Linked DNA regions of Canis lupus familiaris. The protein of the gene in region 2 purifies or fractionates together with the protein of the main gene of each other region. This does not show direct contact. Links are inferred from orthologs where the notes say so. Each region holds a gene or a part of one and is shown on either strand. Other genes may lie near its edges. The genes, in order: SETD1A, OGT and DIDO1.

What was found.
Region 1: the proteins of OGT (region 2) and SETD1A purify together in Homo sapiens (affinity purification with mass spectrometry; 4 studies listed by BioGRID and IntAct, with this or other methods). This does not show direct contact. The link is inferred for Canis lupus familiaris from reciprocal best matches to the Homo sapiens genes OGT and SETD1A.
Region 3: the proteins of OGT (region 2) and DIDO1 purify together in Homo sapiens (affinity purification with mass spectrometry; 3 studies listed by BioGRID and IntAct, with this or other methods). This does not show direct contact. The link is inferred for Canis lupus familiaris from reciprocal best matches to the Homo sapiens genes OGT and DIDO1.

The regions. Positions count from the first base shown.
Region 1 is NC_049227.1:17,389,400-17,392,775, forward strand, and holds part of SETD1A (histone-lysine N-methyltransferase SETD1A), read right to left. Parts: intron 2,077-3,376; coding exon 1,027-2,076; intron 602-1,026; coding exon 429-601; intron 337-428; coding exon 226-336; intron 45-225; coding exon 1-44. UniProt on the Homo sapiens protein: Histone methyltransferase that catalyzes methyl group transfer from S-adenosyl-L-methionine to the epsilon-amino group of 'Lys-4' of histone H3 (H3K4) via a non-processive mechanism.
Region 2 is NC_049260.1:56,034,327-56,037,969, forward strand, and holds part of OGT (UDP-N-acetylglucosamine--peptide N-acetylglucosaminyltransferase 110 kDa subunit), read left to right. Parts: intron 1-299; coding exon 300-495; intron 496-750; coding exon 751-891; intron 892-1,467; coding exon 1,468-1,568; intron 1,569-1,723; coding exon 1,724-1,877; intron 1,878-1,966; coding exon 1,967-2,068; intron 2,069-2,672; coding exon 2,673-2,852; intron 2,853-3,643. UniProt on the Homo sapiens protein: Catalyzes the transfer of a single N-acetylglucosamine from UDP-GlcNAc to a serine or threonine residue in cytoplasmic and nuclear proteins resulting in their modification with a beta-linked N-acetylglucosamine (O-GlcNAc).
Region 3 is NC_049245.1:47,587,196-47,591,552, forward strand, and holds the start of DIDO1 (death-inducer obliterator 1), read right to left. Parts: upstream 2,874-4,357; 5' UTR 2,704-2,873; intron 1-2,703. UniProt on the Homo sapiens protein: Putative transcription factor, weakly pro-apoptotic when overexpressed. Tumor suppressor. Required for early embryonic stem cell development.

The DNA.
Region 1 (3,376 bases), on a different chromosome or scaffold from region 2:
TCGTGGATCCGGCTGCGACCAAAGCGGAGTTTCTTCTTCCGGAACTAGAGGGCAGAATGCAGGCTGTGCTGCTGGGCGCCTCCCTCAACCTAACTCCTTGCCTTTGCTGCAGTCCTCCAAGGGGAGAAGTGTGCTTCGGCCACTCACCTCCATGCCCAACCCCAGGAGACCGCATGATGCTGCCCGCCCACCGGGCCTCTCTTCCCCTAAGTCCCTGCTCCTCACCTTGAGCTGGTTTAGCTTTAGCAGATCACTGTCCATGATGGCGGAGGTGCCGATGGCACTCAGCAACCGCCGCTGCTCAGACCGGCGCTCCGAGAGCACACGGTTAGTCCCCTGGGAGAAGCAGGATGCAGGGGGGGAGGTAAGTGACAGGGGCAACCGTGAGTAGTGACACCAATGGGCCAGGTATGAGGGCAGAGCCTTACCTGAGTGTCTGCTCCTTCCAGCTGCCGGGCCGAAACAGGGCACACATCCAGGTACCTGTCTTTTTCCTTCTTGCTGATTGGGTAATAGCCTTCACTGCGGGCTGAGCCTGTCTGGTGCTCACGGGGCCCATCCTGGGGCCGCCGTTTGCGTTTTGGAGTGCTCAGGTTGGTGAGTGCAGGGTGTTAAGGAAGAAAATGGGTTCCTTGCTGGCCAGATCCCTGGGGCCCTCTCCCCTCGGTCCACCCAGTCCCAGCCCATGGAAAGGGTGACTGACCTTAGCAGGAGGGCCCAAGCATTATTTAGCATGAGGAGGGCAGAAAAATGGAGAGAAGAAAGCCTTAGATCTCACCTTTTCTGCCAGAAAAAACTCAGGGAGGTAGAGAAGGGGCAAGAGGCAAAGAGAAAAGAATGGCCTGGGGGCCAGAGGAGAACAACCAGGCTGAATGTGGCAGAGAGAACAGGGAGGGAGGCAAACAGAGACGCTAGCTGCGATGTGAGAGGGCTGCTCCCTAGCTGTGCGACCCCAGGGCAGCCTGCCCCCACCCCTGGGGCCTGCCTTCTTGTGCGGAGCAAGCTGGCCTCTAGGGCCCAGGATATTGGTGTGATGGACCCAGTGGGTGTCATTCAGCCAGTCAGCCCCGCTTGTCTGCTGCAGCAGCCGCTCGTACGTGAGCCGCAGATAGCCCATGTCCTCCAAGTCCAGGCCCGAGTTCCAAATGTCATACAAGATGGTCATCTGTTCAAACTCACTGCGGGGTTCGAAGGAAGGGGGTGGAGGGGGTGGAGGGGGCGGGGGTGGCCGCCTGCGCCGGGTGTGGGAGCGGAGGCTGCGCCGCCGGACAGCGCCCTCCCCGTCACTACTGCTGCTGCTGCTACTCTCGGAAGACTCGGACTCCTCCTCTTCCTCCTCCTCCTCCTCTCCTTCCTCTTGCTGCTGCTGCTGTTGCTGCTGCTGCTTTGGCTCCTCCGCCTCAGCCACCACCACCTCGGGGGCCTCCAGGACCTCATCTGCTGGAGAGCTGAAGAGGGCCGCAGGGGCAGGAACTGGCTCCAGAGGCCGAGGGGCCGGAGTGGAGGGCGGCGGCTTGACAGCCAAGGCATAGTTGTGTTCCAGGAGGATGTGGCTGAGCAGGGGGCCTGGGCGGTCGGCCTCATCCGATGTCTCTGTGGCCTCCGAGTCGTCACCTGGTGGCAGGGCAGTCAGCCCACGACGGGCTGGGGTCAGGGCCAGGTCGGCCAGCACCGCCAGGTCCACTTCGGTCCCTGGGTCAGCTTCCTCCTCCTCAGTAGAACGGCCTCGGCCTCCAGCCCGGCTCCGACCTCCTCGGGACACCTCCTCAGGCCAACTCTTGACCAGAGATGCATGGTCCAGGGGCAGGTTTCGAATGGTCCGCTCCACAGTCCGGGGGACTTTGCGGGACACAGGGCCAGGAGACTTGATCTGTGGCGGGGTGGCTGGGGGAGGCTCTGGTGCTGGCACCTCCTCCAAGGCAGAGAAGGAGACCGTTTTCCGGCGTTTCTTGGGTGGGGGCAGGAGGGGGATAGGAGAGGAGGGGCGCTCATCAGGGCGGGGAACGGGGGCCAGGGGTCCCGCTGGCGGCTCAGGGGGAGGCTGGGGCACACTGGGAGGTGGTTCCTCAGTGGAACCTGGGGAAGGAAGCACACAGGGAAAAAGAGAAGGTCAGCAGCTTGCGGGCAGGGTACTGGCCTGTCTCACTGGGGAGTCCACACCAAGGCTGCAGGCTCTCCTCTGCTTCTGGCACACATGTGCTCACCCAGCAAACATGCTGCTGCCTCACAGCTGCAACAAGTCCTCTGCACCTTGGGCTCCCCTTGGCAGGAGGTTCTGCACCTGCTCATTCATATATTCGACAAACATTCACTGAGCACAAGTGTGTCAGGCATAGGGCCGACACGCTGGGCACTTTCAAAGCCCTCACAGAGATTACAGTCCAATGGGGACTGTGACAGGAAACCAATGTCCAGCCCAAACTCTGGAGAGTTGAGGTGGGGGCTCTAGGGAGACACACACTTAAGTTCTTTTTTTTTTTTTTTTTTTTTTTTTTTTAGATTTTATTTATTTATTCATGAGAGACACAGAGAGAGAAAGAGGCAGAGACACAGGCAGAGGGAGAAGCAGGCTCCACGCAGGGAGCCTGATGTGGGACTCGATCCTGGGTCTCCAGGATCACGCCCTGGGCCAAAGGCAGGTGCTAAAGCGCTGAGCCACCTGAGCTGCCCAAGCTCTATCCTTTTAACCAAGACTAGTGGTGACTGAATTATGTCCAAGGACTAGGAGCACAGAGGATGGACCACCGCCTGGTATGATGATGCAATTAACCCTCTCTGAACTAAAGTATCCATTATTTCAACTACAATGTTCTCTGTTCAGTGAGGTGGTAAAGATACAATGTAAGCATTGAGTCTTTGTATTGAAACACTGCATAGTATTTGTTTCCTTGCCACCACCTGCCAAGGAGCACCAGGGTTTGCCAAAGTGGGGAGGGGTCAGGAAGACTCCCCTAAAGAAGCTGAGGGTGAAGGTGAGACCCCAAGGTTAGGGAGTGGTCTGAGGAGGGGACACACCATCTTGAGCAGGTGGCATTCTCTCTCCCCAGTCCCCCAGACAGGAACCTGTCCTCCCTCTGCTGGGGCCCTCAAGTCTGGTACTGAATGTGGGAGCCTGAATACAGCTCAAGACTACACTGCCCTTTCTCTGGGGCAGACCCTGTGTTGCAGACTAACCCTTTCCCCTCCTAGGTTTCAGCCACTTGGAACAGCCGCGGCCTTTCACACGTGCCTCTCCCCTCCTGCCTACTGGGAAAGCTCACCGAGCTCAATGCCATCTTTGTGAAGGCTATGCTGGTAGTGACTTCCTCTCAGAACCAGAAGGCCGGCGGCTCTCAAGTGCCAGTCTTCAGGATGGCAGCAGCAGATTAATAACTAA
Region 2 (3,643 bases):
CCTTTTAGACTAAATTATTCCTTTGATCTGATTCAGAAAGCTAAGTAAATCCTCACTTTTGACTTTTTTTTTTTTGTTAGAGGAGAGCTGATTTCTTATGTGGAAATAGGAAATTTTTCAGTTTAGAAATACATATTTTATTAAGGTGAAATTTTGATACGAGGTTAAGTATAGTATAGCTTGGATTAATTACAATTAATTGATATACTTTGGTATAGTATAGCATGAATTAATTGTACCAGAGCATCCATTAAAAGTTAGTTGCATTGTGTGTGTGTGTGTGTTTTTTTTATTTACAGAGCTGTGGCAGCTTACCTTCGTGCCCTAAGCTTGAGTCCAAATCATGCGGTGGTGCACGGCAACCTGGCTTGTGTATACTATGAGCAAGGCCTGATAGATCTGGCAATAGACACCTACAGGCGAGCTATTGAACTGCAACCACATTTTCCTGATGCTTACTGCAACCTAGCCAATGCTCTCAAAGAGAAGGGCAGTGTAAGGACATTTATTCAGTCTACTTTTTTGTTACCTGGTAGGATTAAAAAGCCGTTGTTGTACCTATTGTGATTAAGTATTGAAGTGGCAAATTGTTTTACTTTTGAGTTTTGGTTGAGAGGAGAATGGCAAAAATACCTATTTTCTAGAATATTACCAGCCATCAGGCTTAACTAAGCAGTTGTTAGAATAACATCCGTGGTGGCTCTGTGATTCCTCCATTATAGGTTTTGAATAATTTGTTTTGTTTTCTAGGTTGCTGAAGCAGAAGATTGTTACAATACAGCTCTCCGGCTGTGTCCCACCCATGCAGACTCTCTGAATAACCTAGCCAATATCAAACGAGAACAGGGAAATATTGAAGAGGCTGTTCGCTTATATCGGAAAGCTTTGGAAGTATGTTCAGGGTGGTGTGGCTGAATATCTTGTCTATGTGATAAGAGAGGAAAGGCAGTTAAAGATTGACATGTCATCCACCTCTTTTTGTAAAAATAGTGGTTGAATAATTCATTGACCCAGTAATTGAGTATCTAAGGTATGAGTGAAGGCCTATGTGATAGTCAAGAAAGTCTCTATATTGCATTCGTTATTTTATAGGTAGATCTGCACAGAAAAATTAACCGTAAGTTACAGTTCAAGAGAGGTTGTTAATAAATATATCATTTTAGTGCCTGATGGCTGTAACGGTGACTGGTGGGTATGGTTGGAGTTTAAGAGCAAGAGATTTCAGGAGAGAGATACTAGAGTAATCAGCATAAACTAGGATGAGGAGAGAGCTACCTCATCATGTTTTTCAGCAAGGAGAGGTACAAAATGAAGAGGGAGAATTTGAGGTACGCAGCTTTGAAGAATGAGTAGACTGGGAGAAGGTAGATAAGTGTAGGGATATAAAGGTACTTACTTACTGTGGTAAGTTGTTATTGCTGGTATAGAAGTTTTTTTTAAACCTCAGATACCATCTTGACTCTGTAGGTCTTCCCAGAGTTTGCTGCTGCCCATTCCAATTTAGCAAGCGTATTGCAGCAGCAGGGAAAACTTCAGGAAGCTCTGATGCATTATAAGGAGGCTATTCGGTAAGACCCTCACTGGTTTTTTTTTTTTTAATGTTTTATAATGTTTGGCATTTGACACATTTGGCTTGTGTTAAATGACTTTTAAGAACAACAGACTAATATCACAGGGAGTTAACAACTTTTGTCCTAAAGAAGATCTTTGTTTTCTCTTTTAGAATTAGTCCTACCTTTGCTGATGCCTACTCTAACATGGGAAACACTCTAAAGGAGATGCAGGATGTTCAGGGAGCCTTGCAGTGTTATACTCGTGCCATTCAGATTAACCCTGCATTTGCAGATGCCCACAGCAATTTGGCTTCCATTCATAAGGTACTATTGTTTATTATAATACGTGTATCTAAACACCTAATGTTTAATTTTAAGAAGACTTTCAACCATCCCACTTTGTGTATTTCCAGGATTCAGGGAATATTCCAGAAGCAATAGCTTCTTACCGCACTGCTCTGAAACTGAAGCCTGATTTTCCTGATGCTTATTGTAACTTGGCTCATTGCCTACAGGTAAAGAATAATAGGCCAGTAATTGGCTTTCAGTGTTGCGATCACTTTCTTTTTTTTTCTTTTTTAAAGATTGTATTTATTTATTCATGAGAGACAGAGAGAGAGAGAGAGAGAGAGAGAGAGAGAGGCAGAGACACAGGGAGAGGGAGAAACAGGCTCCATGCAGGGAGCCCAACGTGGGACTCGATCCCGAGACTCCAGGATCACACCCTGGGCTGATAGCGGTGCCAAACCACTGAACCACCTGGGCTGCCCTACAATCACTTTCTAATTGTTCTGTGTGCCGCATTGATCCAAACCTGGCTGGAGATTTTTTTTTTAATATTTTATTCATCTATTTATGAGAGACCGTGAGAGAGGCAGAGACACAAGACAGAGGGAGAAGCAGGCTCCATGCAGGGAGCCCGATGTGGGACTCGATCCCAGTACTCCGGGATCATGCCCCGGGCCAAAGGCAGGCACTAAGCCACTGAGCCACAAAGGGATCCCCAAGAGATGGTGTTTTTTAAAGGGTTATCTGATGTTACATTAGGCCAAAGACCTATAAAATGTTAAATCTTGGAAAAGGGTTTTCTGGATAATAACTTCTTTTTGTCTCCTCTAGATTGTTTGTGATTGGACAGACTATGATGAGCGAATGAAGAAGTTGGTCAGTATTGTGGCTGACCAGTTAGAGAAGAATAGGTTGCCATCTGTGCATCCTCATCATAGTATGTTATATCCTCTTTCTCATGGCTTCAGGAAGGCTATTGCTGAGAGGCATGGGAACCTCTGCTTGGATAAGGTGCGATTGTTTTAAACTTTCTGTTGCAGAGTAAAATACAGATGCGGAAAATGACGCAAATCATACGTATGTAGGTTAATGAGTTATCCACTCATTAGGTGTACACTACCCATGTTAAGAAATGAGACTTTGTCAGCCACCCCAGAAGCCTTTTCCATTGTCTGTCTCGATCGTAACCCCTTCTGTCCCCTAAGAGAATCATAACAATAGATAGATGGTGTTTTCCTATAGTTTGAAAACCATAACGTTTAATAAGGTGTTTGGTATTTTGTACTCTGCTTTGAAAATTAGAGCACTACTTGTGGAAAGGTGGAAATTTGCACAGCAGAATAGATTGGCGTGCTAGATGTAATTCTGTTTAAAAAAAAAACGCTTCTCTACAGAATTTTCTAAAATGCAGGGTTTATCATACTCTGCACTGCCTCCTGTCTCCAAGTTTTATTTTTTTATTTTTATTTTTTTAAGATATTACTTATTCATGAGAGATACAGAGAGAGGCAGAGACACAGACAGAGGGAGAATCAGACTCCCTGCGGGGAGCCTAATGTGGGGACCCTATCCCAGGACTCCAGGACTGCGCCCTGGGCTAAAGGCAGGCGTTCAACTGCTGAGCCACCCAGGTGTCCCTGTTTCCAAGATTGATTGATTGATTTAAAGATTTTATTTCTTAATTCATGAGAGATACAGAGGGCAGAGAGGCAGAGACAGGCAGAGGGAGAGGGAGAGGCAGACTCCATTCAGGGAGCCCGATGTGGGACTCGATCCCGGGACTCCGGGATCATGCCCTGGAC
Region 3 (4,357 bases), on a different chromosome or scaffold from region 2:
CTAAGACACCCAGCACCTGAATGGGTGCAGCAGAGCTGAACAATCATAAAATTCTTCCTTACTCTTTCAACACTTTCACCAAGAAACTGAACACACCGTAAAAGGCTAATGCAACGGAAGTTGACCTCTTGGTGCTGACTGCCTCATGTTCCGATGACTCTGAGCAGCAACTGGTCAGTTTACATATTATCCTTGAGAATTAGTTTGTTTTCACCAAATCTCTTTCAAAGCAGGGCATTCAGTGTGTAGGGGCTTGATTTTATGCTTTTGGGTTTTGCAAATAAGATAAAAACATCCGCGGAAATGCTGTCATTCTGTAACACACAGCCCACAGCCTGGTTATTGAGCAATCCAGGATTTGAGTAAAGGCAACACTGTGTATTTTATTCTTCAGATACTCCTCCCTTTTCAAAAACACTTTTAATGCTCTCGTAAGCCTAGTAAGTGTTTAACACTCGTCTGTAAAGAACCGCTAACCTATTACAAGGGAAGTCTCCACCTGGGCTTGGAGGATAGTGGAGGTTCTGGCCACCTGGCTGCTCCCCTTCCACAGACCCTCCTATTTCCTATCAACTGGGCCAATGCTCCAGGCTGTACCAAAGTGGCCCACACCCTCGGTGCTCCCCCACACCCCCAGACACCTAGCAGCACAAGGGGTCTTATGCTGGCGCAGGCTGGCCTGATCTCCCTTCCATAGGCGCACCTACTGTCCACAGGGGAGCTCATGCACTCCTGGCTGTGCTCCACTTTACCCCTGCCCAGACCTGTTCCCCTAACATCTCCACGGGTGCAAAATGAGCTCACGACTCCTGAACCTCTCTCCTCCAACCAGACCCTTCTCTGGTGTCCCTAGTCCACACGCACCAGCCAGAAGCCTGGAGATTCTCCTTCCCCCTCAGCCACCAAATCTTGTTGCTTCAGGGTTTAATGGGATCAACTTCACCTGCTGCTTGCTCTCCACCTCAGAGGCTTCTGCCAGTGTGAAACTGCTCCCCTCACCCTATTCACCTCTCCACTCACTGTCGTCTAACATTTTCCATTCCCGTGTCACTGTGCTCCTTGCTCTGTCCCCAACGCCTGTCAAGTATGCCTGCAGGACGGCCCTGCCGCACTGGACACCGCTCATCTTCTAGAACTCCCCACTTCTGCAGAACCTGCTAAACCCCCTGGTCCCTGTCAAGCCTCTCTGCTGACTTAATGGAAAACCTCTTCTCTGCATAGGGGCCATCTGGTGCCGTCCTTCTGGATTCTAGACTTATCTGCTCCTCCTCTCTACAGTCTTTCTCTAAGTATGTTTGTTAACTGTCACAGGGTGTCACCGTAAAACCTTCACGTCCAGCCCCGGCTGCTCCTTTCAACTTTAGCCTTGTCCCCCAGGCACCTCCAACCCAGCAAGACTGACCCTGGGCTCCCCAGCCCCCCCGCCCCCTTCTAGCCCACTCGTCTGCCCAGCTGGTGCCACCACCAGGAGCCTCATCAACCAGGCTGCACATCTGAGTGCCATTCACCGCAGGGGCTCAATCGCCAGACTGCAAACATTCCCCCCTCGGCGAAGTCTCCCTGCGTCCACTGTTGCGGAAGCTGCTCTCGATTATCCTCCTTCACTCATTTCCTCCTTCCCGTTCTCAACAGATACCTACGGAACTCCTACGAGGTACTAACGTCTCGGCTCTGGTGCAGCCCAGGTGTGTGTGGCAAATTGCAACGTTATCAGCCATCAGTGGCAGAAACCGGTGGGCTCAGAGCTACGCGGGGAGAGTCAGGGTGCGAGGTGGGCCTACGGGGGCGGTGCGCTCAGCTTGGTCTAGGGAGGGCCTCCCCATCTCCGGCAGTTGGCCTGCAAGTGCTCTGCCCGAGACCCCACTCGAGCACCCGCGAGCACCTGCAGAGAGGTAGGGCGGCTGCAGCAGAGGCAAGGGGCGGGGGCGGGGGCGGGGGCGGGAGCCCTCCCGGCTGCGCCCACTGGGCACGCGCCATCAGGGAGTGCCCGGAGGGTGTGAGGAGCAGGGCACGGGCGGGGGGGGGGGGGCACCGGCCGGGCGCGCGGGAGCCTGGGGGCCGCCCCAGAGCCGAGGGGCCGTCCCCGGGCGGCAAGGCCCACCTCCTCGGGGCACCGCGCTCAAGCTTTCGCTTGCGTCCCTTTGGAAAGAATTTCAAAAATCCGCGCCCCTGCGCACGCGGCGAGGTTGGCATCCGGAGCGGGCACAGGTCAGGGCGTTGCACAGGCTGGCATCACGGGCCCGCACTGCCCCGGCGGCTCTGAGTCGGGAAGCGCGGGCAGCGCCGCCCGGGCCCACCCCGACCCGGCCCGACCCGGCCCGACCCCGGCCGCCCGCTCCCCCCCACGCGGCCCGCGGCGCCCGACCCCGGCCCCGGCCCCGCCCCCCGCGCCCCGGCCCCGGCCCCGCCGCCTCGCGCGCGCCCGCACCCCGGCCCGACCCGGCGGACCCCGCGCCCCGCGCTCCCCGAGGGCAGGCCCGTTTCTGTCGACTCATGAGCCGGCGGGCGGCAGCGCGCTCCCCGCCCCGCCGGCGCCCCGCAGCCCGCCTCGGCCCACGCCGCGCAGGGCTCCCCGGGGCGCGCTCGGCCGCCCCCTCCCAGGCCCGCGCTCGGCGGGCGCTCGGCGGGGGGGCCCCTCGGGGCGGCGCGCAGCACCGGCGCCCGCCCTCCCCCTCGCCCGCGGCCCCTGCCCTGCGAGCTCACACAAGCCGCGGAGAGGAAGCGGGGACCTTCGCCTCCGGCTCAGCCTAGATGTCGCCATCGCGGCGCGAAGTTCCCCCACAACGACACCTCGACGGCGGCCATCTTGCCCGGGGTCGGCCGACGCCTTTTGACTCTCGCGCCAACCCGTAGAGCGAGGGCGCCGCGAGCGCCGTTCTGCGCAAGGACGGAAGCCCGAGTCCCGCGCTTCCGGGCGGCCGCCGCGCCCCGCCCCCTCGCGGGGGCTCCTGATTGGCTGCCGGCTCGGGGCCTGCGCTCGCGCGGTCTCGCGGGAGGTGCCTGGAGGGGCGGCCGCCGGTGCGTCTGCCCTCCCGCTCCCCGCCCCCGCCCCCGCCCCCGCCGCCGCCGCGGCTCCCGCCTCCGCCGCGCGTCCCCCGCGCCCCGCCGCCCTCCCGGCTCGGCCCGGCCCCGCGAGCGGCCGTGGAGACCGCGCAGCGCGGGAGGCGGGCTCCGCCAGGTAAGATGGCCGCGGCGGCCCCGGGCGGCCGGGCCGAGCTTCCCCGGGGAGCGCGGCGGGCCGGGGCGGGGCGGGGAGGAGCCCGGGAGGCGCCGGGGAGGCGCGCGGGGACGCGGCCCGGGCGGGGGCGGGCGGGGGCCTCCCGGGCGCGCACGTCCAACTGCCTCCGGGTCGCGGCCGGGTCGGCGGGGCCCCGCGGCGCCGGGCGCTGTAACCGGGCGTTTATTCCTAAAGGGACAGCGCTTCCCGCGAAGGCTCCGACGCGCAGAGCGGCCGGCCGGGGTCGAGGAGCCGCGAGGAGCCGCGAGCCGCCGCGCCTGTGCCCCGCGGGGAGGACGGCGTTTATGACCACCAGCGGAGCGGGCCCGGAGCCGGAGCCGGTGAGGACGGGCGCCGCCGCCTGCCGCGCGGGGCCGGCTGCCTGTGCGTCCTCGGTTAGTTCCCGTGGACCATCCAGGACCAGGAGCGTGGTCTGAGCAACGCCTGTGCTGGCCTGGAGCCCCGGGGCCCGGCGCCCCGCGTGTGCCCTCTGCGCCCCGTGCGGCACCGTCCCGGCACCCCGGGGCCTCCTCTCCTGGCCTCGCCACCGGCCCGCGCGTCCCTCCCCACGCGCCCCCTGGGCCGTCGGTGCCGCATCCTGGCCTTCACGCCCCTGTGCGGCCGCTGTCACTGTTCCCAGCGCTGAGCTGCGGACCTGTGATCCTGGGGCCGGCTCGCCTTCCCAGCGAGGAGTCAGAGTCGGCCCAAACTTGCTCTACTCCTCCAACCTGTTCCTCTGTTCAAGCCTTCCTCTTCGGCCGAGTCTCAAGCGCTCCTGCTTGTTCATCTCTCTGCATTCAGTCCGGAGCAGGACCGTTGACACGTCCGTAGAACCTTCACCCGCCGTGTGTCCGACCTCCCTGCCGCTGCGCCCGTTTGGTGGCTCCTTGCTGGCTTTGCTGCTCAGCGCTTGCCACCCCGTTTCCACCGTCTAGCTTTTTAATTGAGGGGAGCACTCTCGCGTGTACTTAGCTGGCATTAAGTGAGCCCCGCAACTCACAGGTTACGGGGGGGGGGGGGGAAGAATAGGAAGTAGTGGGAGTGGAGGGCTGCCCAGCTGGTACTCCCCGGGCCTGTGCCTGTCCGCTCTGGAGGATCGTGTCTTTACTTAAAGCAACAAAACGCTTTCTCACGTTCCTG